Linked DNA regions of Saccharomyces cerevisiae S288C. The gene in region 4 interacts genetically with the main gene of each other region. Each region holds a gene or a part of one and is shown on either strand. Other genes may lie near its edges. The genes, in order: TGS1, THP3, LSM7 and BUD13.

What was found.
Region 1: mutations in BUD13 (region 4) and TGS1 together harm fitness more than expected from each alone (negative genetic interaction), as found in Saccharomyces cerevisiae (3 studies listed by BioGRID, with this or other methods).
Region 2: mutations in BUD13 (region 4) and THP3 together harm fitness more than expected from each alone (negative genetic interaction), as found in Saccharomyces cerevisiae (3 studies listed by BioGRID).
Region 3: mutations in BUD13 (region 4) and LSM7 together harm fitness more than expected from each alone (negative genetic interaction), as found in Saccharomyces cerevisiae (4 studies listed by BioGRID).

Annotation. Positions count from the first base shown.
Region 1 is NC_001148.4:250,508-258,453, forward strand, and holds TGS1 (RNA methyltransferase), read left to right. Parts: upstream 1-4,306; coding exon 4,307-5,254; downstream 5,255-7,946. Other genes in the region: PET20 (Pet20p), read right to left, coding at 400-1,161; AIM44 (Aim44p), read right to left, coding at 1,527-3,803; pheromone-regulated protein PRM4, read right to left, coding at 5,406-6,260; KIP2 (Kip2p), read right to left, coding at 6,709-7,946. UniProt on the Saccharomyces cerevisiae protein: Catalyzes the two serial methylation steps for the conversion of the 7-monomethylguanosine (m(7)G) caps of snRNAs and snoRNAs to a 2,2,7-trimethylguanosine (m(2,2,7)G) cap structure.
Region 2 is NC_001148.4:651,695-659,971, reverse strand, and holds THP3 (Thp3p), read left to right. Parts: upstream 1-3,419; coding exon 3,420-4,832; downstream 4,833-8,277. Other genes in the region: TAH18 (NAPDH-dependent diflavin reductase), read right to left, coding at 1-790; MSF1 (phenylalanine--tRNA ligase), read right to left, coding at 1,034-2,443; MCM16 (Mcm16p), read right to left, coding at 2,628-3,173; 60S ribosomal protein eL43 RPL43A, read right to left, coding at 5,125-5,401, 5,805-5,806; PUF2 (Puf2p), read left to right, coding at 6,310-8,277. UniProt on the Saccharomyces cerevisiae protein: Forms a complex with CSN12 that is recruited to transcribed genes and required for transcription elongation. May also be involved in pre-mRNA splicing.
Region 3 is NC_001146.8:348,262-355,779, forward strand, and holds LSM7 (Sm-like protein LSM7), read left to right. Parts: upstream 1-2,678; coding exon 2,679-2,696; intron 2,697-2,792; coding exon 2,793-3,122; downstream 3,123-7,518. Other genes in the region: RPC31 (DNA-directed RNA polymerase III subunit C31), read right to left, coding at 1-260; PGA2 (Pga2p), read right to left, coding at 1,106-1,495; ALF1 (Alf1p), read right to left, coding at 1,646-2,410; YNL146C-A (uncharacterized protein), read right to left, coding at 3,125-3,319; YNL146W (uncharacterized protein), read left to right, coding at 3,454-3,756; MFA2 (mating pheromone a), read left to right, coding at 4,153-4,269; MPF1 (Mpf1p), read right to left, coding at 4,559-6,781. UniProt on the Saccharomyces cerevisiae protein: Component of LSm protein complexes, which are involved in RNA processing and may function in a chaperone-like manner. Component of the cytoplasmic LSM1-LSM7 complex which is involved in mRNA degradation by activating the decapping step.
Region 4 is NC_001139.9:168,151-175,845, forward strand, and holds BUD13 (Bud13p), read left to right. Parts: upstream 1-6,394; coding exon 6,395-7,195; downstream 7,196-7,695. Other genes in the region: MPT5 (Mpt5p), read left to right, coding at 1-2,421; YGL176C (uncharacterized protein), read right to left, coding at 3,265-4,929; ssDNA endodeoxyribonuclease SAE2, read right to left, coding at 5,135-6,172; chromatin-binding exonuclease XRN1, read right to left, coding at 7,377-7,695. UniProt on the Saccharomyces cerevisiae protein: Required for efficient splicing and pre-mRNA nuclear retention. May also be involved in positioning the proximal bud pole signal.

The DNA.
Region 1 (7,946 bases), on a different chromosome or scaffold from region 4:
TGTTATTTTAGCTGCAAATATCTGGGTTTGAGGGCTATTTGACTAGTCTAGAGAAAAGTAGTCGTGAGAAAACTATATTAGATAGATGGATGAGAGGAGCAGGTCAATAAGTAAAAGAATAATAAATAAATATATAAAAATATACATGTAAAAAAGGTGTTCTAAATGAATGATAAAGTTTATGAATGTAATATACTCTAAGGATGTAAGAAAAAAACCGTTGCGTATGTATAATAAACAGGTCTATGATGTTAAAAGATGAAAAGGCCTAATAAAGTGAACAGAACCGGAAGAAACTAAAAATAAATAAAACCCAAGTAACCACGTACAAAAAGCACATTGATGCTAAGAAGATCTCCCTGCTAGGAAAACAGAAATCAGAATGAAACGTTTCAATAATCATCCCTCAAGTTTTTTCTTCATTTGGAGCAACGTCACTACTGACTTTTTTCTCCCCTTTCCTCTTCTCTTTGAAAATTCATCCATTTTCCGCTGAAGCGTCTCACTTGTTTTATTGTCAACTAATGTATTTCTCTTAGCACTTACATGAATAAGCTCATTTGTGTTCATTGATTTTTCCTTAGGTGGATGAAAAGGCTTCAAATTTTTCAGTAGTTCACTAGGTATATTCTCCCACTCTGAAAAGAATTCAAGTCCAGTGGCAGAGGAAATCCATGGTGATAGAGGTTCATTTAAATCTTCAAGCTTCATCGCAAATTCGTATAACGTACTTCCGGTGTCTTCCTTTAGCTTCGGGTCATTGGGATTGATGAATAAGGGTCTATATCCAGAATAGAGTACATTTGTGGTCATGTCACTCTGCTTTAAATGTGAGGTGGATGGTACTCTTGGTAGCCACGAAAAATCGCTTCTTTTCTTTTTTAAATGAGAACCTCTCACATCGCTATGTTCTTTCTTTGTGATTGTCTTGTTTTGCTTTATAAGTGGTGCAGTATGTTCGTGTTCCGGGGGTTGACGATGGTACGCTGCCTTTTTACTGCCCTTTTTTCTTTTGGATTTCATTTGATTTTTAGATAGTAAAGACTGGTTACTTAAGAACGTAAAGGAAGACTGAAATCTTCTAGAAGTGAGAACTATTCCTGAAGAAATGGCATTGTTCCTTGATAAAGGCGGAATAAATGGACGAGCTAGCTTCAACATAGTTTATCGTCCGACTTTGCGTTCTGACCTGCTGAATATACGATTAGTAGTTTTAAAAGCACCTTTATAATGTTCGACAGCAAGGAGTGCTATATCTAGCGGGTGTTTGTGTACGTATGACGGAATAAGTTAAAGAAACATCTAAGTTATTTAAATAGTTGCTATAACTACCCTTTGGGATAAACGATTCTGATATTGCGAGCGAAAAAAAGAAACGGTAGACAGAATAGGCGTTTGTTATCGTCGATGGTGATAAAAGGCGATATCGCCATTAAGGTAAACAATTATTATGATTATGGTTCTTATGGTTGATACGTTGATTTATATTAATATTAATGAATGCAAACTTATGTTATTATATATTTTTAAATTTTCATACCGACAGGAAGAGTCAATGACCTCTTGACCACACCTGTTGGTAGCGATATAATGCTGTTTGAGTAGGCAGGATTTAGCATAGCAAATGGAGATCTTAACGTAATACTCAAATCGCTTTGTTTTCTCATCGGACTTAATTCCGCTAATTCGTCTACCTCTTTTGCCAAATTTCTTCCTTCTCCTTCTTTTCTTTTTTCTTCTTCTTCTTCATCATCTTCATCATCTTCTTCATCTTCTTCATCTTCTTCATCATCATTTTCTTCTTCTTCTTCTTCATCATCTTCATCATCTTCATCTTCTTCTTCTTCCTCGTCGGCCCTTACTGTAACGCCATCAAATATTTGGGAGGAGCTACCATCAGCCTCATATTCAGTTAATAGAGAATCGACAAGATCTTCGTAGATAGTTGAGTTTGTTTCTGCTGATTTATTCATATAAACAACATTGCTCTTATAATTTTGTATACGAGCAATTTGTACCCTGAGCATAATTCTTTGAGCAATTACGGTGCTTAAATAATGTTTCATCAAATTGTAACTCTCTTCATTTGAAGTTTCCTCATTATTTGCATCCACATTTTGAATTTCATTGTTGCATTCAACTCTGTCCTTATTATCTACTTCCGTTGTCTCCATTGCATCCGCATAATTAGAGTAGCTTTCAGATGATTCTCTGTCATAATCAGATGAGCAAACGCTATTAACGGGAGATAATTCTCTCATAGAACTAGTATCAATTACATATTCGTCTTCCTCTTTAATAGAATATCGATTCATGGATAACGGAATAACTTTATTTTCTACCACAATTGATGGCTGTCTTGCAATTGCATTTAGGGCCGTCGATGGTTTTGACCTTACCAATCTTGACCTCGAGTACATGCTGCTGTTGCGAGTGACGGCATGACTAACATTATCCGGTACAGAAATGAAGGAGTTTTTATTATTTGCCGGTGTCATAGTGGCAGATGCGGTTAGGATGGATGCAGCCCTTCTAATAGAGGAATTTGTTCTTCTCAATGATGGAGTATAGCTTACCAAAGGGCTCCTTGGGGTGTTTGATCCAACTTTGGAATCTTCAGATTGGGGATGGTTTGCTTTAAATTTCGTATCAACTGTCAAAGGTTTAGTCTTTTTTTGTGGAGCCAATACAGGTACTAAAGATTTTGATGAGATCGACCGTTGTAAATTAGAGACGTATCTCTGCGATTTTTTTTGACGCGGAGTAGAGTTGCTGTTTTTGTTGACTAGGTTCGTCCCTCTTTTTTTTGACTTGTTGTTAATGTTTGCTTTAGATTTAGTGGTTTTGGAATTCGTGGCGGAGGGGACCTTTTGAACATTATATGAAAACAGTCTTCTTCTTAAAACTAGCCGTAATTTCCGTAACTTTTTCTTTATCTTGATTCCCAATGAGGTGAAATAATATAAGAGTCCGCCCTTACATCTAATAGCTTTTGATCGTTTTAGAGAACAACGACTGCTACTTGATTTACTGCTGACACTTGAACTATACCTGGAATTGGAAAACCTCGAGGATTCAACTCGTCTTATGGTCGGAACTCTGTTTAGCTTTTTTTTAGGTTTCGGTACTACGCTATTGTTTAATTCGATAGTTTTTATATCCTTTTCCATATTTAATTTGGTCATCGGTTTGGCTTCTTGGGTCGACGGCAGAATGGCGCTTTTAGATGTCGATTTCCTTGGTAATAACGATGATGCTGATGACGGCGCGATATCGTAGGAAACATTATCTGCTGTTGGGATAGTCTGGAATGCCGTTGAGATTGAGCCAGTTATGTTTCCCTCTGGAATAGCTTCCATTGAATGTAACTGGTTTTTAACTACATTTGAGCTGCTATAATGAAGAGAGTCATTTCCTGGGAAGTCATGAGAAGCAAAAAAGTCACTTTTGTTCGAGTCTGAGGAAGTTAATCTAGCGGTTTCATTTTGATTGATTACAATACGTGGTGAAGACGTAGTATTGTCAGAAATGTTAGCAAATGAATAGTATCCATTTGATGAATAACCGGAATTTGTATTTGTATTGGAAGTGGATGTATAGTCTGATAATGTTTGAGAGTTTCCGTCTTCATCGCGAGAAACTCCATTTTCTGCTGCAAACACATCATTTAAAAGATGATGATTATTCAAATGGTACTCTTCTAGCGTTCCTCTTGGTAAACTTTCGTTAGACGGGAATTTAAAATCCATTTGATCGCCTCTAAACGACTTGGTTTTTGTCCTTATTGGAGCTCTGATGATCATTCCGTATGATATATTTGTTGTGATAATAAGCCAAATTTATTTGAGCACTATTGTTAAGTTAATTGTTCTTGTTTTACTTGTTAAGCCGTTAAGTTGTCAACCGAATTATCAAGCACTTAAATCTATATATACAACATATTTGTACAAGAATTGATGACCTGCTGAAAGCCCAGCAATCTGGTTATCCCAGTTGAACATGTTTAAGGATAGGCATATCGACTTCTTTATCTTACTAACCGAAATATTGAATTGCCTGTGTAATGAATGGCTGGAGCAGCCTTTTTTTTATCTTCGCCAGCCATCGCTTTTTTTGAATATTTTCCACATGAAAACAATGTATGAAAAATTCTAAGGCATCGCACCAAACTATATGAAGGGGAAGTGAGTTATTCCGCAAACAGCGAGTAAGTTTTTCGTTGTATTGATTGCCCATATTATATACCGTGTTGTGGGGGCAACAGACAGAAGTAGAAGAAAAAATTTTTGTTGATTTAACTGAAGTGATGGGAAGGACATTTATTCATGCTTCGAAAATAAAACATGCGGCACGCAAAAGAAAACATCATTCCAACTTTAGAACTCTGATCAAATTATTGAACAATGATGCCTATAAGATAGAATCATCAAAACCGTTGAAAAATGGTAAACTTTTCAAATACTGGAAAAATAGGCGTAGATTGTTTTCAAAGATAGATTCGGCGTCGATATATATGACTGATGAGCTGTGGTTCAGTGTGACGCCCGAAAGAATTGCCTGCTTCCTGGCAAATTTTGTTAAGGCATGCATGCCAAATGCCGAAAGAATACTGGATGTTTTCTGTGGTGGGGGCGGGAACACCATACAATTTGCCATGCAATTTCCTTACGTCTATGGAGTGGACTACAGTATTGAACACATATATTGTACTGCGAAAAACGCCCAAAGCTACGGTGTGGACGACAGAATATGGCTGAAGCGGGGATCCTGGAAAAAGCTAGTCTCTAAGCAGAAACTTTCCAAAATAAAGTACGACTGTGTATTTGGATCACCCCCGTGGGGTGGTCCAGAATACTTAAGAAACGATGTGTATGACTTAGAGCAACATCTAAAGCCTATGGGGATTACCAAGATGTTGAAAAGTTTTCTTAAACTAAGCCCTAATGTGATTATGTTTTTGCCAAGGAACTCTGATTTGAACCAGCTTTCTCGAGCTACGAGGAAAGTACTAGGTCCATTTGCCAAATGTAAAGTATTATATGTAAAGGAGAATGGATATATGAAAGGAATATTTTGCATGTGGGGGGAATGCTTTTTTAACTACGAACCAGCAAGTACGGAGAATAGTCGAAGGGAGTCGTCCGAAAAGGAAGAGCTGAGTTCTGAAAACGAAGAGCTCTCGAAAAGAAAAAAGCATGAATCCACAACAACGACCAAAGATAATACTGTAGACATTTACGACGTAAATGGTTAAACACTTGTTCAAGTTGAATCGTATGATAGAAAATGCAATGACTATGTTATGAATGTATATATAGCACATAAAGAGGATCGCTTACGTGAATTTGGGAATAATTAAAACGTTCTTTTAGCTGCGGCTGCTCGTCGATAGGAGTGATAACAAATTAAGAATTAGAAGGGATGTCTTTTTTTTCTACCAGCAAGTTGCCACGCGCTTCAGACTTTAGAAGAGGTAGTAGCAATCCCTTCGAATGAGGTTCGATTATATCTCTCACCATTCCACGATTTATCACGGAAATACCATTCAAAAATAAATAAGGCGACTGAATGGATTCCAAGGCAGCACTAGTATCGATATTTAGTTTATTTTGTTTGATATACTTTTCTAATTCATAGCCATGAGAGTGTTTTTCCAAATCAACAGTGGCCAATTCGGGTGAAATCTCAAATTCTCTTTGTAATAGATTTTTTAAGAAAATGGAGTCTGCTTGTGATGATTTAATGAATAATACCGCTGGAGAGGTTCTTATTATATCTAGAAAATCTGTTCTAGGGTCGAATTTTTTGTGATCGCAGTTTTTCTGCAAGGCCAGAGAAGATGACCGTGGATTTAGTGTTGTTGTGGTCGTCGCCGTCACGACATTATCAGTTTGGAACGATCTTGAAGAAAATTTTGATGTAGCTTTGGATGAGGGTTCTGGGATGTCGACTTCAACCTCGCTTTGAATATTTGAAATTTCTTCTTTGACTTTTTGGAAATTTAGTTCATTTTCATTACTTAGAAAACTGTCTGCTGTCTTTAATAAGTTTGGCAACTTGTAAACGAACTTCTTTTCACTTTCTTCCTCACTATTTTTTTTGTTTTCGCTAGGGTCAGCAGAGTTGTAGAATTCCAAGGAGTCATTCCATGTAAGTAGTAAGAAGCTAAATACGCCAAGCAAAACGAGTGTTAGCGATATTATTCTCGTACTTCTCTTGATTGCTGTGTGCTTTTTCAAAACTGATGAATCCGCTATCATCTTTAACTGTTATTTTCCTTTTTTTAATTGCTCTTTACTGTTCTTGGAACAAGAGATTATGAAGTCTATAAAAGAACATATATATAAGTATTTAAGAGATAAGCCTGATTCAAAGACGTTTGCAAGTTTCAGTCACTTGGCCTTAACAATCTTTATATATTAATCCCTTTAGTACCTGCACAATTAAGGCCGAGACAGACTCGAAACAACCCCAAAACTTCTTGATCTTTATTAGCTGATGCCAAATTTTTTGGTACCACACTGAAACGAACTTCGTAAATCCATTATTTGTGTATTTTCTTAACGAGAAGTGCCTAAAAACTGCCTTTTATGCGCTGTCTTCTGAGAATAGATCCCGTTCAAGGCAAGCGCCGGGCAAGCGGAGGCGCAGTCTACAGAACAATCCGCACAAGGAAAAAAGCACCCGAGATCTGGGACCCTCACCTAATCATTTATCGTTATCCACGACAGGGTGCGGTGATTGCTGTGTATTAATGAGTGGTTTCAAAGCCCTATCCCGCAGTCGTTTGGCACTCTGCAGGGCCTCAATCATTTTATCCTTCCTCTCGAGCATCTTCTGTAATTCGATCACTTCAGTGCCGTCACACCCAGTTAGCGACATTGCAGTATGACCACTTTTTTCTAGCGCCATGATCTTGTCTTCAAGTTTTTGAGTGTATTTCCTATATTGCCTTATTTGTGATTCCAAACCTTGGAACTTTGTTTCCAAAAGGGTGCCGACCTCAAAGGGAAGCATTTCTACAATTTCCATAATCTCAGAATCTTGCAAATCAACCACATCTTTATCTAGTAGTTTTTCACAATTCTCTAGTTTATATTTTAATACTCGATTCTCCGCTCTCATTAGAGCCAAATTCGGATCACCATCATTGCCGGTGGCTTTAATGTCTTTATAAGTACTTTCATTGGAAGATTTGGTTAAGGGCTCGCCAATGTTTGAACGGTTCTTCAATTCAGAGATCATCCTACGTTGTTCTTCCAATTGGCGTCTCAGTAGCTCAATGGTGCGATCTTTATCTCCATCGTTATTCCCGTTACTGATGATGGATTTTTTGGATACATGAAGTGCGACGTTTTTCGCTCTTGATGCAAACCTCAGCGTATTCATAGTTTCCGCTGCCGCATCATTTCTGGTGTCGACTGTACATATCGTTGTCACTATGCTGTCACCGCTTAGTGCCGGCTGCAATAATCTAGTCAATTTAGAATCACGATATGGAATGTGGTTGCTTGGGCTAGTGCCGTTATTGGTAGCATTTCCACTACTGCTGCTACTGCCACTTGCAGATGGCGAGGGAATGTTTGAGCCTACTGAGTTCATCTTGTCGGCACTGAGTTTGGATATCACAGTCCCCAAAGCAAGTAAGGATTTGTTGATGAATGAACCTTCCTTTCTCCTCTCTTGTTGCCCCGTAGCCCTTTCCGAACCTGCTAGGTCACACAACGACAATGTACTCGATCTTGAGGTGCCGTTCTTTACGTTAGTACTTGTTAAACGAATCAGTACAATGGCATGAGATCGTGAGCTTCTTGCATTGTAGTCAGTTTCGCCAATTTTCCTACTTTTGTCACCAACTGCAATCCACCTCAATAATTCTTCACTACTTTCACATCTTCTTTCGGTGAGACCGATAACTTTGACCCCATACTGAGAGTCATCTCTGA
Region 2 (8,277 bases), on a different chromosome or scaffold from region 4:
CGGGTTCATAGTTTTCTTGAATCTTGTCCACATTACTAAACTTGAACTGCCTCACGTCTTGGAAATGACCTTCAGATGTAATCCTTTTGTTTATATTAACTCTGCCAACCTTTAACGATTCATCACCTTCGAATATAACCTTGGTGCTAGTGAACTTTTCATTGGCATGTTCGTCTGAAAGCTGTAGGTAGGATGCTGGCTCTAGGTAAACCTCAGGGTCCAATTCTTCCCTCTTAATTATTTGGCCATTGACCTTTCTGTTGGGGTACTTACTTAAAAGAAAGCTTAGGACTTTCTTTTCATATTCAAAATATACTGATTCAATTCCGAGACCTGTACCCTTATTGCTACCAGCCATAGCCTGGTCGTCAGCCTCCAATCTATCGAATAATTCATTAGCACCCAATTGTGTGACAATGCGCTGATGTAGCTTTCTAATGCCGTAGTTAAACTTAGGATAAGATGAATCACCAAGTCCAAGCATGGCAGTTTGAATATGGTTGAGCAAATTCGACGGAAGATTCTTTCTCTTTAAAAACGACCAGAACGTGACGGGTCTTTCACCTTTTAATGCATTGACATTCCTTGGTAATTCACCTTGGCCTGTTGTGGAGCATATAATAAAAAGGTACCTGCATTTCAAGATATCCTGTGGGTCATAATCACCAATGGAGCAAAATGTATGGGAGAAATGCCAGCGATGTAGTCGATGGGATAAGATTGTAGCAAAATCATGCGCGTTACCTGTCTCCGATCCATAGAGGATGACGATTTTCTTGCTCGATGACATGCAGCGATTAATGGAAACACAGATGGCCTACTGTTGACTAGAATCTTCATGTTAATAAGGCTCATGAAATTTTTCGAATTTTTTTTTTTTATGTAGTCATCGCATTGCCGCAAATGCTTAGTAATTAAGAAAAACAGATAGATAGATGAACATAGATTGAAGTGATACAAAGAACCTGACAAAGTATTTACAAGATATATACAGCTGCGGTAAAACACCTGCAACTAGTTTGAGTCCGTATCCCTATCTGAGTTCTACGCTGTATTCTTTTACCAATTTAGAACACACCATGTCTTGCAAAGTGTTAACTTCGGCGTTTGTCAAATTTCTGTCCATTGATTGATAGTTGATCCTGTAGCACATAGATTTTCTCCCAGTTTTCGGATGCGTAAAGCTATCGACTAGCTTGACACTCTCTACCAAATCGCCAGCTATATTTCTGATAATTTCCATCAAATCATTTTCATGAACTTGATGAATATCTGGTTTATCTTCTGGTAACCAAAACGCAACATCCCTAAATGATCCCGGGTGTTTTGAATAAGGTTTGAAGGAAGTAATTAATCCCTTGGAGAATTGTCTTGAAAATCTTTCATCACGACTCCAAAGCAGTCTAATATCTGGAATTTCAAAAAGAAGCATAGCAATGCGGTCCAAACCCAAGCCAAAAGCCCACCCAATTGTTTCAGAAGGTTTATATCCGGCTCTTAGTAGCACATCTTGACGAATCAATCCGCATCCGCAGAGTTCGAGCCATTCGCCCTGCCACCAAACCTCTATTTCCCATGAGGGCGCGGTCCAGGGGAAGTAAGCGTTAATCCAACGGACTTTTAGCTCTTTGGGTGTATTATTCGCTTTGTTCTTGATCATGCTAGATATTTTTTTGTTAAAAACTTCAGAAACTATCAGTTCAATGGACCTCTTCAAATGTTGAGAGCACAAATCAACCTCCAGATCGGACATATACTCTTGTTTAGGATTATTTTCTTTCAAAGGTATAGTATCATCGTCAACCGTAATCTTTACATTTTCTTTATTTAAAAGGTTCTCTACCTGTCTGATATCTTCACGGATTTTCTCGATATACATTGGCTCCTTTACGCCCACATCAGCCTTCGTTCGTTTCCAAATTGTGGCTCCTTCCATTTGGTGGAATACCGGATAGTGAGTTTTGTCAATTTCATCTCTTCTGTACACATCTGCAGATATTAAAAATCCACTTTTAATATTATCTGAATCGTTTCTTATTTTTTGAAAGCACTCTAATTCGTGGGCTGAAGTATGTGTTCTCAGTAGGTGCGTCTCATTTATATAATATGTGTCAGATTTTGATCTTCCAGGATGATCCTTAGGAAACCCTAAAGAATCGAAGTTTTCCATTGTGGTTACCACGGGCTTGAAATTATTAAAGATCTTAAATGTGTTGTCGACTGAGTTTAATTTCTTTTCAATTAGATCGCGAAGAATGCCTACTGGATGTGATTCTTTCAAATGTAATGATCTGTCGGTAAGCTTTATTATTGAATCTGTAACATTGGTAGTCTGTGGGTCGGTCTTGTATTTTATGCCATTGATTTCTACATGTGGAACTTTAAGGGTTGAATATAAGCGATAAAGACCAGTCCTGGTCTTCATCATTCTATTGAGAAACATTGAAGTTACCTCCATTGGCAGATATTTTTTTATCCCTTCTCTCTCTCTGAATTTGTGAGTAGTTCCTTAATTTTCCTACCTTTTTTTTTTCTCGAAGATTCAAACCTTAATTAAGTAACTATTATTATTAGCGTTGTCAGTATTAAAATTATTTGAATATATAAATAGCATTAGAAGATAAAAATCAAATTGTGTAGGATATGTTTGTATATCCGGAGTGTATCTGTAAAGCAATCATCAATTCTTGTATCGTTTCATTTTCCTTTTCTACCTCAACCTGTTTTCCAGCAGTATCACTGTCGTCTGGCGGTATAGTTGGTTTGGGAAACTTCGACGATAACTCAATCAGTTTTGACATCAATTCGTCGCGTTCTGCTCTTGATTCAATCAACTGTTTGTGCAATGAAGATTGAGCACCTAACGATTGCAAGAGCTCATAGTCCAGAGAATTGCTTTCTTCTAAGAGGTTTTGTAGCTTGGTGAATAATACATTGGTATTGTCCGGTTTCTCCAACAGTCTAATAAGAAGAGCAGTCTTTTCAAGATTAATTTGAAGTTGGTGTCTAATTTCCAAGAGGCGCTGTTGAGTATGGCTTAATATTACCGCATGATTGTGTTTTCTAATCAAGTACAACCTGTCCAACGTGATCAACAACTCTCTATATACCTCCACGTGCTCCTTTTCTAATTGCTGGATTCTTTCCCATTGTTTTTCACTACTGTTTGTCATCTGTCAAAATGGTATGAACTCCCCACGACAGGAAGAAATGGTTAGAAGTATCTAGATATTGCACACTGTATGTGATGACGGCTATCATTTATTGTCAACATGCATCATCCTTCACGGTTTGGAATTTTTGAGTAAAAAAGGACTGAACATGACAAAAAATAGAGATTTGGCTGTCTCGTAAAGAAACCATAGAATACAAGGAGTAGGAACCGTTCGGCAGCGAGTAGTTGAGTTTCCAATAACATTATGCAGAATCCTTACGGTCACTTTACTAACAATACCACGGAGGACAGGGAAGCTTCATCTCAAGGAGGACCATTCGGCCAAAGCCTGAATAGGCCCCTAGATTACGCCGGATCTTTCCCTTCTCTGACATACAATAATAATAATTTCATTGCCAATCAACAACCTTCTCTGCCTTTGCCAGAACCACGTTTATCTTGGAACAACGTCAACCAGGTTTCTAACCCTTTGATGGTAACACCGCTTCCGGGATTACAAAAACGTATGAACAAAAACATTAAAAAGAAATTACCAAGAGTATCTAAGAAGGCATCAGCCCTTTCTAACGGGGTATCCGGCAATGTAATGAGCAACAGTAATATAGTAGGGCATGGTGCTGTAGGTTCGGCATCGGGATGGAAAGTTGAAATGGGTGGCAGTGATGAATTAGAGAGAAGAAAGAGAAGGGCAGAAAGATTCAGTCAGGGACCATCAGCGACGACGAATAGTAACGATAATTTGAATGAAGACTTTGCCAACCTAAATGCCATTAGTAGCAAATCTCATCAATATGACAAAAAGATTCATGTGGTAGGGCGTTGCCAAACTCTAGAGAAATCTTATCTGAGACTAACTTCAGAGCCTAATCCTGACTTGATCAGACCCCCAAATATTCTACAAAAAATGTATTGCTTGTTAATGGACAAATACCAATCTAAAACAGCCACTTATACTTACCTTTGCGACCAGTTTAAATCAATGAGACAAGACCTAAGAGTGCAAATGATCGAGAACTCTTTCACTATTAAAGTGTACCAAACGCATGCACGTATTGCCTTGGAGAACGGAGATCTTGGGGAATTTAATCAATGTCAAAATAGGATTATGGCGTTATTCGAAAACCCTACAATACCAAAAAAATCTTATTCCGAATTTATATGCTATTCTGTTTTGTATTCGATGTTAACCGAAGACTATCCGTCGATTTCTCATTTAAAACTTAAGTTAATAGACGATGGCTCTTCGGAAATCTTGGAGGACGAACATGTCAAAATGATATTTGAGTTGAGCGATATGAAACTAGTCGGCAATTATCACTACTTCATGAAAAACTACCTAAAACTGCACAAATTTGAAAAATGTCTAATTAATTCATTCTTAAATCTAGAAAAGTTGATATTTTTGACCATAATTTGTAAGAGTTATAACCAGGTCAATTTAGATTTTGTTAAAAGTGAGTTTAATTTCAACAGTATAGAAGAGACAACAAATTTCTTGAATGAGCAAAACTTGACGGAGTTCATATTAAACAAACAAATCACTGACAGTAATGGCAAAAGTAGTAATATCAAGATTTTGAATACCAAGGGATGTAGGGTACAGTTGATACAAAATTATATGAAGTCTAAAAAAATTGATATAAAGGGACAAAAATGATGAAGAGGGAAACGGGATGCCTAAGGTATATGATTTTGGTTTTTTTTTTTTTTTTTTTTTCTAAATAAATATATACATATTCACAACACATAAAATCTCTTGAGTGCATTCATCGATGTCACTTTCTTCTGGAAATCAGAGCCTAGATACCAGGCTTAAGGCCCCCACGAACAGTACGTGAGCTATTGGCCATTGTTCCTGCCCAAAAAACAGACATTTACTGGAAAAGTTTTTGAGTTATAATTAATTATATAGTTGTTTTATGATTTTTATACATATAATTAAAATAAAATCAAGCTTCAACCATTTCTCTCAATCTTCTGATGGTAGATCTAACGGTGGCGGCAGCAGCAGTGGAGACAGTGTAAGCACCACCAGCGACGGTCTTCTTACAACAGGAACAAGTCCAAATACCAGCAGCACCTCTCTTGACGGTCTTCTTACCACAGAAAGAACAATCGTATCTAGCGTGTTGTTGGATTTCCAACTTCTTGACTTGTCTTCTCAAAGAGGAACCATAACGGACACCGTACTTACCAGTGATACCAACCTTCTTAGTTCTTTTAGCCCTGTATTCAAAAAAGAAAAAATATCAAAATATGTTAGTAAATCTTGAAGGAAATTCTAAATAGGTCGAGGTTTAGTGTTTCGAATTGGTGATTATACAAGCATAAATTCCACTTTGTTTCCCTATATGCATCTCCACAAAATTCTATCTCTGCACTGAACAGTTTCGTAAGACTAGTTTGCCACCTTCAGGTATATGAATGAAAGTTCCCATAAAGCAGACATTTCACATAATTGTACCCTATCGAATTACAGTGATCCTATTCATTTGAGATATGGTGTTCAACTTCATGTTTTTCCCTTTATATCGTAAAAGTCTGTGGAATTCTGTCTATATCAGTCTATTTCATCACGAAACACTACTCCTCCAAGCAAACGGTAAATCGTGTGCGTAATATATCATACATTTTTGTCTCAGTTGTCTTCCTGTTGTTTGCTACTACTGTCTGAACTAAAAAAAGGCGTGCCAAATACTATATATGATACCTAACTCTAACATCCCATATAGCCCAATATCTCACATAACACTGAGTGAGCCGCCTCGTGCGTTGCGTTAGAAAAAGTTAACAAAAGTGAAAAAAAGCAAGGATATTTCTTGCGGAAAAAAAAAAAATTTCTAAATGTACGGATTCTTTGAAAATTTGAACAGTCTTAGTTTCGTTTGAGATCTTTTGGTAACCCGGCTGTTGTTCCAAAAAAGAACTAAGTAAAAAAATTGTGAAATAGTATGAAACCACCCCTCGAAAGAGCAAGCGATGGTGCATATACTGCTGAATGGCACAGAGCAACGGCATAACTTACTTTCCTCTATACTAACCATTCAATTATTTGTTACTAGCTTAAGTGTATATTCATTGTTAGAGAGATATATCTACTATCGCTGTCCCTTGCTACTGTTTTCTGAATTCTGATGGACAACAAAAGACTGTATAACGGTAACCTATCCAACATTCCTGAGGTTATAGATCCTGGAATTACAATTCCAATTTATGAAGAGGATATTAGAAATGATACACGCATGAATACAAATGCTCGTTCTGTGAGAGTCTCTGACAAGAGAGGTCGTTCTAGCTCCACTTCCCCACAGAAAATTGGCTCCTATCGTACTCGTGCGGGCAGGTTTTCAGATACTCTAACCAATCTACTCCCTTCGATTAGCGCTAAGCTACACCATTCAAAGAAGAGTACCCCTGTAGTTGTTGTGCCTCCTACGAGCAGTACTCCAGACAGTTTAAATTCCACGACATACGCTCCCAGAGTGTCTAGCGATTCTTTTACGGTGGCTACTCCGCTGTCATTACAGTCTACTACGACCAGAACAAGAACAAGAAATAACACAGTATCTTCTCAGATCACTGCAAGTTCTTCTTTGACTACTGATGTGGGCAATGCCACGAGTGCAAATATTTGGAGTGCTAATGCAGAAAGTAATACTTCTTCCAGTCCTTTGTTTGATTATCCTCTCGCCACTTCTTATTTTGAGCCATTGACTAGATTCAAGTCCACTGATAATTATACGCTGCCTCAAACAGCTCAACTAAACAGTTTTCTGGAGAAAAATGGGAATCCAAACATATGGTCGAGTGCAGGAAATAGTAACACTGACCACCTTAATACTCCGATAGTTAACAGGCAGCGCTCTCAATCTCAATCTACCACAAACAGGGTTTATACTGACGCGCCCTACTATCAACAGCCTGCACAGAATTACCAGGTTCAAGTGCCTCCTAGAGTTCCAAAAAGTACTTCAATATCCCCTGTTATCCTTGATGACGTCGATCCAGCCTCGATAAATTGGATTACAGCAAACCAAAAAGTACCACTAGTCAATCAAATATCGGCGCTTTTGCCCACTAACACAATATCTATTTCAAACGTGTTTCCATTACAGCCTACTCAACAACATCAACAGAACGCTGTAAATTTGACGAGTACTTCCTTAGCGACTTTATGTTCACAGTATGGTAAAGTGCTTTCTGCGAGGACACTAAGAGGCCTGAATATGGCATTAGTAGAGTTTTCCACAGTTGAAAGTGCAATATGTGCTTTGGAAGCTCTACAAGGTAAGGAACTGTCTAAAGTAGGGGCACCAAGTACGGTATCTTTTGCGCGAGTCTTACCCATGTATGAACAACCTCTTAACGTTAATGGCTTCAACAACACTCCCAAGCAACCGCTGTTGCAAGAACAGTTGAATCACGGGGTGCTCAATTATCAGCTGCAACAATCGCTACAACAGCCGGAGCTACAACAACAACCAACTTCATTTAATCAACCAAATCTTACATATTGTAATCCCACTCAGAATTTGAGCCATCTGCAATTATCTTCAAACGAAAATGAACCTTACCCTTTCCCGTTGCCTCCACCATCATTATCGGATAGTAAAAAGGATATATTACACACTATAAGTTCTTTTAAGTTAGAATATGATCATCTAGAGTTGAATCATCTCTTGCAGAATGCCTTGAAAAATAAAGGAGTGTCTGATACAAATTATTTTGGTCCCCTGCCTGAGCACAACTCCAAAGTTCCAAAGAGAAAGGATACGTTCGATGCACCAAAATTGCGGGAACTGAGAAAGCAGTTTGACTCGAACTCATTATCTACTATTGAAATGGAGCAATTGGCAATCGTCATGCTGGACCAATTACCAGAATTAAGTTCAGACTATTTGGGTAATACCGTTATTCAAAAATTGTTTGAAAACTCGTCAAATATCATCAGGGATATTATGTTGAGGAAGTGTAATAAATATCTCACATCTATGGGTGTTCACAAAAACGGTACTTGGGTTTGTCAGAAGATCATCAAAATGGCAAACACGCCAAGGCAGATAAATCTTGTAACTTCAGGTGTAAGCGATTACTGTACTCCA
Region 3 (7,518 bases), on a different chromosome or scaffold from region 4:
CTCTTGCTGTTTTCCTGTTGATCTATTATCAAGCTCATTGATCCGGTATAAAATGGGCCATCTTTAACAGTCTTTCCAAAATTGATGTACTTTACTGCTAAAGATCTTTCCTTATTTGTTATAGGACCATTGATGGGCAATGGGATGGATGGAAATTCCGTAATATGATTTTTGCCTACATCTCCATAACCTAATCCGAAGGGTAGATTGCTCATATAGTTGCTCCCGCCACCTCTACTGCCGCCCCTATAAGAACTCATGTTTGTTCGGGGTATATATGCTCGGTACTATCAAGTTACAATATCTTTCTGTCGTGTTGTTTTCTATAGGTTGCTGCGATGAGGAAACTATTTTCTTCTTTGAGATTTTTTCAAATTTCTCTTCATTTTTCATGCGGCCGCACAAGAGTTGAAACCACTGACGAAAGCAATTTCAGTTCATTGAGTTACACCTAGCGAGGCACTTCTTTGTGGAATGGTAGCCATTGTATTGAGATTTTTCTTGTCGACCATCAGCCTTTTTCTTCATAAGAGAAAAGAAGATCTCGTTCATGACTGCTAATTACTTTGAACGATCACCTCTGCAATGTGACATTTGTTCGAAAGCCGCCCATTAGTATTGAAAATAATTTATATTTTCAATTGGCTAGACTACGAAATTTGGACAAGCCATTGCTGCGTAATCCTTTCTCTTCTACGTCACAGTACATCTCTTTAAACCTTTTCGTTTCTCGGCTGTTTAAGGAAAGTATCGTCTTGCCGTATCTACATAAATCAATTCTTACCCATTTTCTTTTGCATTCTAGCCGTTAATTCACGGCTTAGTCGTTTGATATCGTGTTTGAATTGTGAATTGCATCATTCATGCGGAATGGGAATCATCGCAGTCGTTATCCGTCTCACAAACGTCGGCATTTGCTGACTATTAAGGCGACACGTAACCTACAAACTCAATTTGAGACGCAAACGCAAGTTGATTAGACGTTGAGAATGATGCAAGTAGCAACATCGGTAATGGTTAGACTATTTTATCAGAAAACTATAGAAAAACTAAAAACAAAACAATGTCACAATGACAAAGAGGAACCCATACATACACAGAGAGCCTATTCTTCCAGTAGTTCCTCAATATCAGCATCACTATCTGGGTCCAACCCTTGGTTTCTTCTCTTAGCCTCTTCCAAAGCGTTTTCAAACAACTCCTGTTGTCTTTTAACTCTTCTTCTAGTTTTCTTACCCCAACCGAAAGAAGTTGTTTCTGCTGTTGCAGCATCATCTGGCTTGTCGATCAGGTCTTTTGATCTCTTTTCCTCTTTGTCTCGTTTGTCCTTTTCCACTTGGGCAGCCAACTGCTTCTTCGCCAATTCCCTGGATGCGATATTTCTTAAGAGTAAATAACCACCTACAATTATCACCAATCTTATAAAGTGCTTGTAGTCATAGTTGACTAGTTTTGCCATCCAGGTATCCACCCATGTTTCCGCTACTTCAGACATCTCTTTCAATTACTCGGCAGTTTTTCTCTTCATAACATCTTTTCCTCATACAAACCGCCGAGTGCACATAAATACAACTACAAATAATAATATGTTGACATCGGATGGAGATCACTAACTAAACCGCCACCGCGCTAATTCTGCACAAATTCAAATTTCATCATCGCTCTCCACGTCATCATGGACGTCTTCCACCTCGGCGGATTCTTCGTCTTTTGATAGAATTTCCACAGCCCGCGGACGCACAAACGATCCGTGACCCGGCGCCACAGGCCCAAACAGTGTTACCCCATTTATGCGCCCATCGTTTTTGCCTGCGGCTTCCGGGAATTCCACACCGCACCATGTGCCCATCACGTCCAACGGTAGTGGTCCTACGTACCGTAAAATGGCCTCACGTGGAGCGCTCCCGTCTACTGTGACACGACAGTGGCGGCCGATAGCCGCCGTTAATTGCTCTCGGGCATATGCTTCGTCCTGCTTTGCCAGCGCAGCGCGCTGGCTCTGCTGTGCAGCATTAAACCTACCATAGCCGTGAGCCATCTTCCATCGTAATACGGATTGATCCCTTCGCAAATAATCCTCCTCGCTAATTACTTCCATTGAGGGGATTCCTTCCGCTTGCGTGGCCAGCTGGTTAGAGATTGATTGGGCATTAGAGTCTGTAACAACCACAATAAGCTCCTCCTCTCCTTTTAGGAAGTTGGCATCTTCATCCTCATTTGAATAGGCACCCCCCTTTTTAGTACTATATATCTCCTTGTTGTCGTACTGTCTTTTCACAACTATTTCCATATCCTCTGGTTCCACTCCGGTAACATGGTACAATCGGTCCTTGAACTGCCTTAATTTAAGCGAATTTGGTAATTCCTTTTCTGTACGGACCAATTCACTCTCTATGACAACTCTAACCATAGTTTTGCCATGTAATTTTTTTTTCTATCTCTTTATTTGAATTCGTTGCTCTATGTTCTTGTCGCTTGTCTTCTTCAACTGCCGTTTCCCTGCGAGCCGGAAAAAAGTACTGTTCTTTCGAACAAAGGCGAAAAAAGCTGTAGCTGAAAACAGACAACTGGGAAACGACAATTAAGAATACGCATGTACGTGTATACTACTACAGTAAAAAAGAAAGTTATTTGAGAGCAGCACTTTGTTTACTACACAGAACATTAACCAAAAAAACATGCATCAGCAACACTCCGTATGTTTCACTTCTTATTTTCTTCCGTGGCAATAACCTTCCTTTTGACTTATTTATACTAACATTATAATAACTATGTTTCCTTTTTGAACTAAGAAATCAGAGAACAAACCACAACAGCAAAGGAAAAAATTCGAAGGCCCTAAAAGAGAAGCTATTCTGGATTTAGCGAAGTATAAAGATTCTAAAATTCGCGTCAAATTAATGGGTGGTAAATTAGTTATAGGTGTCCTAAAAGGCTATGATCAACTGATGAACTTGGTACTTGATGATACAGTAGAATATATGTCTAATCCTGATGATGAAAACAACACTGAACTGATTTCTAAAAACGCAAGAAAGCTAGGTTTGACCGTCATAAGAGGTACTATTTTGGTCTCTTTAAGTTCCGCCGAAGGTTCTGATGTACTATATATGCAAAAATAGGTTTAATAATATAATCTCATATAAACTCCCTTCCTTACAGTTGAAAACAAAATCAAATCACGGTATGGCATTTCTTTACATATTCTCAATACCTGACTGACATAGTATGCGCTACATAGTTTTGTCCTATTTTTTTTACACCGCGATTTGAAGTCTAAAGCCAGAGAATGAGGAAAAACGAAACAAACTGAGATCATTTGTATAAGGGGAGTCACTGTACAGCTGCCAATACCAATTTTCCTTCTGCCAAATCAAAAAAGTATCCGCATACACATACACCCCTCCCTCTACAATCTTAATTATTTACTGATTCCTTTCGTATTTGTCCAGTATGAGCAATACTAAGCATACCACTTCTCATCACATGGAACTCAAAAGGATCATTATCCTTACACTTTTATTCATACTCATAATGTTGATATTTCGAAACTCAGTGTCCTTCAAAATGACATTTCAAGAACTACTGCCACGATTTTACAAAAAGAATTCAAACTCAGTTAGTAATAATAACAGGCCCTCATCTATTTTCTCGGAAAACTTGGTGGATTTTGATGATGTTAACATGGTCGATAAGACCAGACTGTTTATTTTTTTATTTTTCAGTTTCATCATTACTATACCGTTTATGGTATAAATTAGAAAAGTTAAAGCAGCATGTTTTCATTTGAAACAAATACTAATGCAATAATAGGTACACCATCTACTACATAATTAATTGATAGTTTCCTTTTCCGTTAAGTGCATGCATAGGACGCCCATAATTTTTTAAGTTAAAAAAGCATGTATTTACCTATTCGGGAAATTTACATGACATGGATGCCATAAGGAACGAAAATGAAACATGCATGTCAGAGGAAAAAGAACAAAGCGAGAGGAAAAAGCTGTTGCATTACCACGTAATTTTGTATATAAATATCTGATAAATAACCATTTTATTTCCATCCACTTCTTCTGTCGTTCATCCGTTCATTGACATCACTAGAGACACCAGCGAGCTATCATCTTCATACAACAATAACTACCAACCTTAATGCAACCGATCACCACTGCTTCCACACAAGCCACTCAGAAGGATAAATCCTCTGAAAAGAAAGACAACTATATAATCAAGGGCCTCTTCTGGGATCCCGCCTGTGTTATCGCTTAATTTTTGACGACAACCAAGAGGTCAAATCAATATCTACCCTTTCATTTATTACGTGTTGCTGGCAAACTAATTTATTCCAATTCTCTCATCATTAGCTCACCCTTTCCATACTTTTTCATACTTTTATACATATGTATTTGTAGTTATCACTTTAACAGATTTTTTCATGTTTTTCTTTTCTGATACGCCTTTCCCTCCGCAGGAAATGAAAGATGAACCACCCATTACATTCGATTTTTTTTTTAATTATATTTTTGACTATTATTTAATCATTAAAAACACATATATTTCATAAATTCGTAAGGTCGTTAGTTCTATCGTAAAAGTGAAAAAGTTTTGAGCCAGTTTTCAAAAACCCGCAGGATCCCACTATGTATGGCTTTAAATAATGGTTTTTCACGTGCATCAAGTCCGTACTATCTTCACCACTATAAACTCTTATAGGTGGATTATTCGTTTCGAATGCTGGTGGCAGTGCCGGTTTGAAAATAATCTTACCTACCCATGGGTGGTCTTCCGTTAACGGTTTGATGCATCTTAATGAGTCTTTGATATATCTTTTCCTTGAAACTAGTTGTGTCGCCGGTGCCCACTTCGAATCGTTACTGGATTGATTCTTATTTCCACATTTTAGTGACAATTTCTTTGGAAAATCATGATTTAAACAACCAGTCACGGAAAAGCTTTTCGTACTGAATATTGTACCGTACTCAACGTCCGCATTCTCATAGCGAGATTCTCTTTCATCCAAATATACCAATCTATTGATGTCATCATCCTCAACATATCCATCTTCATCATCCTCTTCGTAATTAGCATCGTCTTCGTCTTCGTCATCATCTTCATCTCCATTTACATCTTCATTGCCACGGTTTAACTTTTCTTCACGATTCGTACGCTCAGCAGAATTCGAAATAGTTGACCTTCCTGTTCCCTCGTATACCGGTTCAAAATTATTAATTTTCAACACTGACCGATCACAGCGCAAAGGATCTATAGGGTTGGAATTCGATCTACTTCTGAAGTTTTCATGGATGGATGTTTGTGCCGTTAAAACAGAATGTGCTGTGGGAGAAAAAGTGGAAGATAGAACAGAAGTATTGGTATTAGTAGTACTACCATTGTCATCGATTTCTTCTTGAACACTATTCAGTTCCTTCGATCTCATTTTTTGTCCAATGTCCATATTAGAGTTTTTTCTCGAACTGGAATCTGTTTTAAAGAAATTTCTTAGTTTTGATGTAAATAAGCCACAAAAATCAGTTTGAGAACTCTCCCCTGCCAATGAACCAGAGTCATTGGGCCCATTGGAGTCATGACTCGCATCGGATACAGAGGGAGGTAGCAAGCTTAAACTTCTTGATCTTGATTTGTTTGTCGGACGTTCGTTGCCGGTGGCCACTTTTGTTACAACAGAAGAGGTGTGTGATCTTCTTAAAAGTAAAGAGTGGGAGCGAGAATCATTTCTATCACTATTTTGTCTGCTCTTGTTTTTGTTTTTGTTCTTATTGTGTTGCTTAAATCTTCTTGCCCTCGGATGTCTCCTTCTGGGAACGCTTCTATAGGTGGGCATTTCCCTCAATTCCAGATCCAAGGACAGGGATATACCCATGTTCAAATACATAGCCCAATAGATCAATTCGTCTACATGAGAAAACTGCACTAGAAACTGTTGTCCCTCACAACGCATTCTTAAAACAAAATCTCTAGAGGAATAATCTATAGGCAGACCAACTTTGGCACATTGCAGGGAGTAACTCTTAAAGAGGCGCTCATCTGATAAAAATTTGTGCTCGTCTCGTGCTATTTCCCCGCATATCCTTTCCTTGTCATATTTATCGAATTGGTAAGTGGATTTCGTCGTGAACGCATTTAATAACGACCGAGCCGAATGATGGCGATCGCTAGCAGTTTTGGAATGGTGGGAATGGTCAAACATGTCACCACCACGATAGTTTTTAATATGCCTGGTTAATGAATCGTCAATAGAATAAAAGTTTATCTGCGTAGAGTTTATTTGAAGAATAAAGTTGTTCCATAATCGAGAAGAAGCATTTTCAAAGGGCGATAGTTTTTCCATCTTCATAGAAACCACAGTATAGTGTTCTACAGACGGTGTATAACTGGGAGGTTTCACAGAAGTGAGGCACGGACGACAATGCTCATATATAGGGTACCTAATGACTTTAGACGGATTCGCAAAATCATAACACGGAGGTTCCACTGGGTACGGATCTATGCAGTAAAGCACGTTTTTGTCAGCAACATCAACATCTACTCCGGATTGTGGCTCCACTATTTCGTTCATGATGTTTGTGTTAATGTCTGTTATGCTATCGATATGGTTAAAAGTCACTTTCGGAAGCGGAGAATCCAGAATAGAATTACTAGTAGTACTGGAACAAAGAAACTCGTCGCCCATGGATATGGATGAGGCTGTCTGTGAAAGCTTCAGCCCCGTACTATCCATACCGTCGTGGTCTATTGTCATTTCAAAGATGCTGGAGGACATTTTCTGAATAGGTCCGTTTATCTCTTCTGCTGTCTGCGAAAACAACGTAAAAAAATAGTGCTTAGTGTTACTGCCTGTGTAACAACTAGTGCCAAAGTTACAAAGAAACTTCACTAACAGTTTTTGCAATTTACCAAGAAAGCACCAACAAAATAAATAAATAGCATGCCTGTATATATTACGAAAAGTCCTTCAACTACGTCTTCCACTTGCTCTATCCCTTGGCGGAAAACAGAATACATGCAAATTTTAGAGAATTTTTCAAGATGCCTGCCCCCCACATTTTCTTACTTGATCAAGAGCAGATCTGTTCCTTTGCGCAGGGGGTTGCATGGGGGAGAAACTGGCCGGAAGCAGCCGAAAGAAAGTTCGCAAAAAGATAATGGGGACAGTATTAGAGAAAACGGCGTGGAGGGGTATGGAGGAAACAGTTAGCATAGGTAACGAAAAACCGCAGCAAAATAATTCTCTCTTTTTTTCTTTTGACTTAGTTGTGGGACCCGGATCATTCGGTACTGCATCTTATTCCCGTGCCAAGGTCTCTGGGTGTTGCTGATTTCCGGGTATCCAGAGCTCTATCTGCTTCCGTACCCAGTGAGTGAGCTAAAATAAAAAAGGGGCCTCGGCGGAATTTGAATTCGGGTTACGTTTCCCACGGAGCCCCGGATAGAAAAGATTAGTTTCAGGTACATGTGTCAAATGAGGATAAATCTCAAACACCCATGTACCGAAAATCG
Region 4 (7,695 bases):
ATGAATAACAAAAGAAACCATCAAAAGGCTCATTCGCTTGATCTCTCTGGTTTTAATCAGTTCATATCATCGACACAATCTCCCTTGGCTTTGATGAATAATACATCAACATCGAATTCTGCTAACTCTTTTTCCCCGAATCCTAATGCTGCTAGCAACTCCACTGGGCTTTCAGCCTCAATGGCAAATCCTCCAGCCATTCTACCATTAATCAATGAGTTTGATCTGGAAATGGATGGTCCCAGGAGAAAATCAAGCCACGATTTCACGGTTGTTGCTCCTTCGAACTCTGGTGTCAATACCTCCAGTTTAATTATGGAAACACCATCCTCTTCAGTGACTCCTGCTGCATCTCTCAGAAATTTTAGCAATAGTAATAATGCTGCTTCCAAATGTGGAGTGGATAATTCGTCATTTGGTTTGAGTAGCTCAACGTCTTCATCTATGGTCGAAATCAGCGCACTACCCCTTAGAGATCTGGATTATATCAAACTTGCCACTGACCAGTTTGGCTGCCGTTTTCTTCAAAAAAAATTAGAAACCCCCAGTGAATCCAATATGGTGAGAGACTTGATGTATGAACAAATTAAGCCATTTTTCTTGGACCTTATTTTGGATCCGTTCGGTAACTATTTGGTTCAAAAACTATGCGATTATTTAACTGCCGAGCAAAAGACATTATTAATACAAACAATATATCCAAATGTTTTCCAAATATCAATCAATCAGTACGGAACTCGTTCCTTACAGAAAATTATAGACACTGTCGATAACGAAGTTCAAATCGATCTCATTATTAAGGGATTTTCCCAAGAATTTACTTCGATTGAGCAAGTGGTTACTTTGATAAACGATCTTAATGGTAACCATGTGATTCAAAAGTGTATTTTCAAATTCTCGCCATCAAAATTTGGTTTCATCATAGATGCTATTGTAGAACAAAATAATATCATTACCATTTCTACCCATAAACATGGTTGTTGCGTACTACAAAAATTACTAAGCGTTTGTACTCTACAACAAATTTTCAAAATTTCTGTGAAAATTGTGCAGTTCCTTCCTGGATTAATCAACGATCAGTTCGGTAATTATATCATCCAATTTCTGTTAGATATCAAAGAATTGGACTTTTACTTATTGGCTGAGTTATTTAACCGTTTATCCAATGAATTATGTCAACTATCTTGTTTGAAGTTCTCCTCAAATGTTGTGGAAAAATTCATTAAAAAATTATTTAGAATCATTACTGGATTTATTGTTAATAACAATGGGGGTGCCTCCCAAAGGACTGCAGTTGCTTCTGATGACGTGATTAATGCTTCTATGAACATTCTTTTGACTACCATTGATATATTCACAGTCAATTTAAATGTGCTAATCAGGGATAATTTTGGTAATTATGCGTTACAAACGCTATTAGACGTTAAGAATTATTCTCCTCTGCTTGCTTACAACAAAAATAGTAACGCAATTGGGCAAAACAGCTCTAGTACATTGAATTACGGTAACTTTTGTAACGATTTTTCATTGAAAATTGGTAACTTGATTGTCCTTACAAAAGAATTACTTCCAAGTATTAAAACTACATCCTATGCAAAGAAAATTAAGTTGAAAGTTAAAGCTTATGCAGAAGCCACAGGTATACCATTCACTGACATATCTCCTCAAGTCACTGCAATGAGTCATAACAATCTTCAAACGATTAACAACGAAAATAAGAACCCCCATAACAAAAATAGTCATAATCATAATCATAATCATAATCATAACCATGCTCACAATAATAATAACAATAATAATCAAAAGAGTCATACCCGTCATTTTTCTTTACCAGCTAATGCTTACCATAGAAGAAGTAACAGCTCTGTAACCAATAATTTCTCAAACCAATATGCACAAGATCAGAAAATTCACTCTCCGCAACAAATTATGAACTTCAACCAAAACGCATATCCCTCGATGGGAGCACCTTCTTTCAATTCTCAAACTAACCCACCATTGGTAAGCCATAACTCGTTACAAAACTTCGACAACCGCCAGTTTGCAAATTTAATGGCACATCCTAATTCTGCTGCACCAATCCATTCGTTCTCATCATCTAACATTACCAATGTGAATCCTAATGTTTCAAGGGGATTTAAGCAGCCTGGATTTATGATGAATGAAACCGACAAAATTAATGCTAATCACTTCTCGCCATACTCTAATGCAAATAGTCAAAACTTCAATGAATCTTTTGTGCCTCGTATGCAATATCAAACGGAAGGTGCAAACTGGGATTCAAGTTTGTCAATGAAGTCGCAGCATATTGGTCAAGGCCCATATAATCAAGTTAATATGAGCCGCAACGCTAGTATTTCCAATATGCCTGCCATGAATACCGCTAGAACATCTGATGAACTTCAATTCACTTTGCCATAATACTTTTTTTTCTTTCTTTTTCTTTCCTTCTTACTGTACAAATATTTTACGCAGAAATCAAAGACAAAAGAAAAATAAAAAATAAAAAATAAAAAATTCAACTAAGCAATGACGTCCTACTAAAGTCCCAAAATTTGAGCCGGAAAAAAATGGTAAAGCAAACTATTGCCATCTTTATATTTTGTATTCTGTTTCCGAACACGTATCCAAAATCCTCCCACTGCCTTTGCAGGGTTAGCATTGCTCCCTACCAAAATGATCTAATTTTTTTTTGAATCGTTTTTTGTCAACGATTATTTTTGTTTTAAATTCCTCATCTTCTGAACTTACGCCCAACTATTATTTAATTCATTCATTCATTAAGCAATCCATACGTCCATTCATTCATTCAGTTTTCTTTTTGTCTATTACTGTCATTTTATTTTCAAATCCAATTGTCCTTTAGGACACTAATGTGTTAAAATATCCATTCGCTCAAGCATTTTTAATAAATAGGAAAATACCGTTTGTTTTTCTTTGTCATTTGTATAAATTTTTCTACTGGTTCCTGTCTTGGTTGGCTTTATTATATTTAGGTTTAACTTGTACTAACAATGATACATATTTGTATATTTTATTATAATATCATATCTAACTATATCTAAAATCGTTGAACTATTCAGAATGGAATTGTACACCAAGAAGAATTATGCTATAACACCATAAGGTCATTACATTTGGGTTTTGACTGCTAATTAGTTCGAAGTCGGCGTTAAAATTTAAAGAATATTTATACATATGAATATGTATATGAATGCAAAGTATGCTAAAATATTTATAAAGCAAAAATCTCGGTGGGCTAAACTAGGTCAAAGCAGATGTTATGAAGATATTGGCCCCATTGTAGGGATCATCTTCTCTCCGAATTAAGATGCATATTTTTTGAGAAAGTGCTTCTTCAGGTATATCGTAAGGTGAAGTACTGCTCTCTTCACCTAGAGGTTCCACAGCATCAAACGGATTTACGTACCTTGGGGGTATGAAAGCCGAATGTAGGTGGATAGATTCAAACTGGAAGTTTTCTAACCTACAGTAGTTCTTCATACCTCCTATTGGATAGAGGGTGATATTTCCACCTTCGGATTTTTCGTAGTCAAGATTTCCAGATAAAGTGGTACAAAATACTTCAAAATCACCCTTTCCGTCCCTAGCGCTAGTTGAACCATAAATGAAGTAGCGCCCGTCATCCGATATCTCGAGTATTTCTGTATCCTTAGTCACGTTTAAGAACTTAGTTTTAAAAGATACAACCGGGATTTCGGTCAGAATGTCCTCCAGGAACGTATCTGCTATAACCAGTTGTTGCACATTCTCTTTGTCTGCCATTCCAGATATAAGTATTAGGCCTTTATTATTCAATGCTTTTATGGAAACAACAGATTTTAGGGAATTTCTGATAGGTTGATTTCGACTTTCTGATGTCATACCGTTGGTCTTGGAGTACTGTAATGTCATGTTTGTAATATTAGTGAAGACTATTGCCATTGAATCACCATTTCTGTAACCTAAATAAAACACACCGGTGTTCGTTTTTTTTAAAGGTGATAAAGCATCTTCTTGTAGACAAAATGATAGGGAAGTAATGTCACTCCTACTTTTGTGTTTTCTTGAGCTTTTGGCAGGAGAAAAGATATAGGGATTTGGAAAGGTTTCTGGAATCAAATCATAAAAATGACAACGATAATTTACGGTAATAATCAACGTGTCTCCAACAACAAGAGAATCATGGACTTGGCAATTTTCTTTGAGTTTGACCTGACGAATTTTGAGCAGTTTTAAGGAAGAAAAGTCTTGTAAAAAGATGGCAAAAGTATGCACGTTAGATCTGGTATTAACGTTGTGATAAAAATAATGGCTCGGCCCTTCCTTGATGGCAACTGTTCTCTCAAGTTTCATTGTTTTGAACACATCAGTTGGCTCGGACTTATATTTCAACATAGGATTTAATTCAGCCATGGAAAACCCCGTAAAGAAATTTTCTTCAGAAAAATTATCCAGGGATGAAAATCCTGCGACATAGCCCTTGTTTGTTGCAAATACTAATTTACTATGAAAACATCCTTCTTGAGTTACCAATAAAATACAATTTGCTAATACTCCTATCTGTATCCTGTGTGGAAAATTGAGTGATTTTACGTTAGCAGAACTATGTGAGTGATGACCTTCAGTGAGAGAATGCGATGCATACTGCATATTTAAACCAATCATGTACTTTTCATATGATAAAGGGCGAAAAGCCCTTTCCAACGGATTCAGAAGACTAAGCTTGTACTTTTGTAATGTTTGCTGACGTTTTTTTTTAATCATAGAAAATTTTTTATCGTAATTTTCCTCAACACATTGTCGCTTTATATTATCTTTTCTGTACTGGTTCGTCGTTCCCGTGGTAGAAATGCTTTGATTTTCAGATATGCGAAAATAACGTCGACGTTCTCTATCATAATAAAACCCTGGTAAGTTAGGTGTCATTTGTTTAACGTCCGTTAACTTCCCCTTTCTGCTTTACCAACTGCTGCTTATTTATTCGCCCTTTTTTGTTTTCCATTGTTGTTCATCTCATTGCCTTTTTTTATTTTTCAGTTTTTCCCATATGCCAACGAGGAAAAAAGCCCTTTCAACCATACCAAAAAAAATGTATTTGAAGTAATGAATAAAGAATGATGATCGCTGGCGTTTAACATCTAGCATATATCTGCAATAATTTATCACTCCAGAAGAAACATCCATCGTCAACAATTTGATTTAATTGTTCTCTTTTGAATACATATTCTCTCTCGTACGGTGGGATCTTGTTATTGCTTGCCATTAAAAACCTATATTTTGTCTTTCTTCTGATGATTTCCTGGGATTTCTTTTTGTCCTCGTTCCCTTCCTGAGTGGAGGGAAAATCCAGTCTTCCAAAACCTGGGGGGGATTTTGATCTATTCCTCAAGTTATCAAACGCAAATTCGTAGTCCGAATTTTGCGATTCTATAACTACTGACAATGATCTGTGTTTAGAATCCTCTGGCTTTCCAACTTGGGCATAAAATCGCTCCAATTTTCTTCTTCCTCTCTTAACCGGGGCGATATCTTCATTTGGTCTAAAGTCTTCGAGAATCCAGGCTCGCTTTGTTAAAGGGTTCGTATTGAAGTCAAACAGGAAATTATCCTTAACATTTTTGTATAAATTTGGCGATGTAGATTCAGGGTTCTCGAGCTCTATTCCCAATAGTTTTCTTGTTTTGTTCTCTTTATCATTATCTTTTTCGTGGATTACAGTATCAGAGCAATCTTCCAAATCGCTTAAGTTGTTGAGGCCATTTAAAGGCGAACTAAACTCCGAAATTTTCCGTTTATGCCTATTAGGTGGCATAGTAACCAGCGGTAACTGCACAGTGTGTTTATTTTCATTACGATAGTGAACCTCTGCTGATTCTTTCTTTATGTCCTCATCAAACTGAGTAAGGATGAAATCTTCAGAATCTTGCTCACCTGGCCCCGCAGACGTCTGAGAGGATTGTTGAGGAGCATTTTTTTCGTGACATAGAATTTCAGCCAGTTTACTGTTAGGTTCTTCGAGAACACATTTATTCCGATTTTGCAGTGCTTGAACACGTTTCGCGATTAAGGTAGTCACGTCATACTGCACATTTAGTAGTTCATCGAGACTGAGCTCCTTGAGAATGGATAAGCTTGACTTTAGATACACATTTTCTTCACCAGTCACCATCTCACATACAAACACCTAATGGCTTACAGCATGGATGGAAATGCAGGTATGTGAACGATAACAATGTTTGCAAACGTAAACAAAAAAGGTATTAAAGCTTAAAAGCTTTTTTTTTGTAGAACGCGCTTAGAAAATGGCATAAAGAAAATGGCTATTTGACTTGATTTTGAAAGTTGTTCTCAAGACTCGAATGGTGGAAGATAACAACAGGACGTTTATTACATGGCATTGCATCAGTATTTATCAGAGACTTATGGGCCCACGAAACCCAAAAATAAGACGAAAAAGAAGAAGAAAGAGTCAAAATCAGACGCTAACTCAGACAAAACTTCTTTGATAGTAAAAGAACGGCTAAGTACACTGCAACAAGAACAGGAGAAGTCAGGAGTTGCTTCATTCAGCAAGTTTGACAAACAAAAAAGCAAGAATATATGGAAGAACCTGGAAACAAACGAGCTTTCCCATGCAATAACACATCCTTCCGCATCGTCAATTACTGGCAACGAAAGCAAGAACGATCTAAAGGAAATCAGGGCTCAAGAGCCACTTGTCACAGTAGCAGACAAATCGAAAACACGAAAAACCATATACAGAGACGCTCAAGGTCACAAGATTCAGGAAGATTCCAAGATAGACGATTCTAGTTTTAGTCGATCTAAATATGAAGATGAGAAAGCCGCGGAAAGAGAGCAATACCTGAAAAATTTGAATATGGGAGACGTGCAAAAGCTTGGAATAAATGTAGATGCACATGATAAGAAGAAAAATCAAACTGCCTCGAGTCTGACGATAGAAGACCCTGCAATAACATTTACACATGACAAAGAAAGAACTGTAAAAACATCTTTACTGGGCCGCAAGCTTTATGATAAGCCAGCACCTGAGAACAGGTTTGCCATTATGCCTGGGTCAAGATGGGACGGTGTCCACAGATCAAATGGCTTTGAAGAAAAATGGTTTGCTAAGCAAAATGAGATCAATGAGAAGAAAGTGCAAAGCTACACCCTACAGGAGGATTATTGAAAATGAGATAATATATAACTATGCGGAAAGCTTTGTGTAAAAAATACCCTTTGACAATCCCCATTTGTTATAAGCTTTTTCTTAACAAGATCAACGATTAAATACAAATACCCCTCTTTATATAGGTCTCAGATATACTATTAAAGTAACCTCGAATATACTTCGTTTTTAGTCGTATGTTCTAAGTAGATTCGTCTTTTTTATTATCACGGTCAGCAGCATTGCTTTGTGACTTTGGCGATTGACATTCAGTAGAGTTTGTGCCAGAAGAAGGTTTAATCTCGCCTTTCCTACTGTTCTTTGTTTCTCCCCCAATAGTTGAACCATTGCTGTGCTGTTTACCATTAATGAATTTTTTCAAATCTTGGCTTTCCTTTTCATTGACAACAATACGACTTCCTTGATCTGAAACATTTGTCATAGGAGGTGGAGGTGGGAAGGAAATCGGTTGTCCAAACCCATGTGGTGCTGGTGGCGGAATAGACATTCCATTCATATTA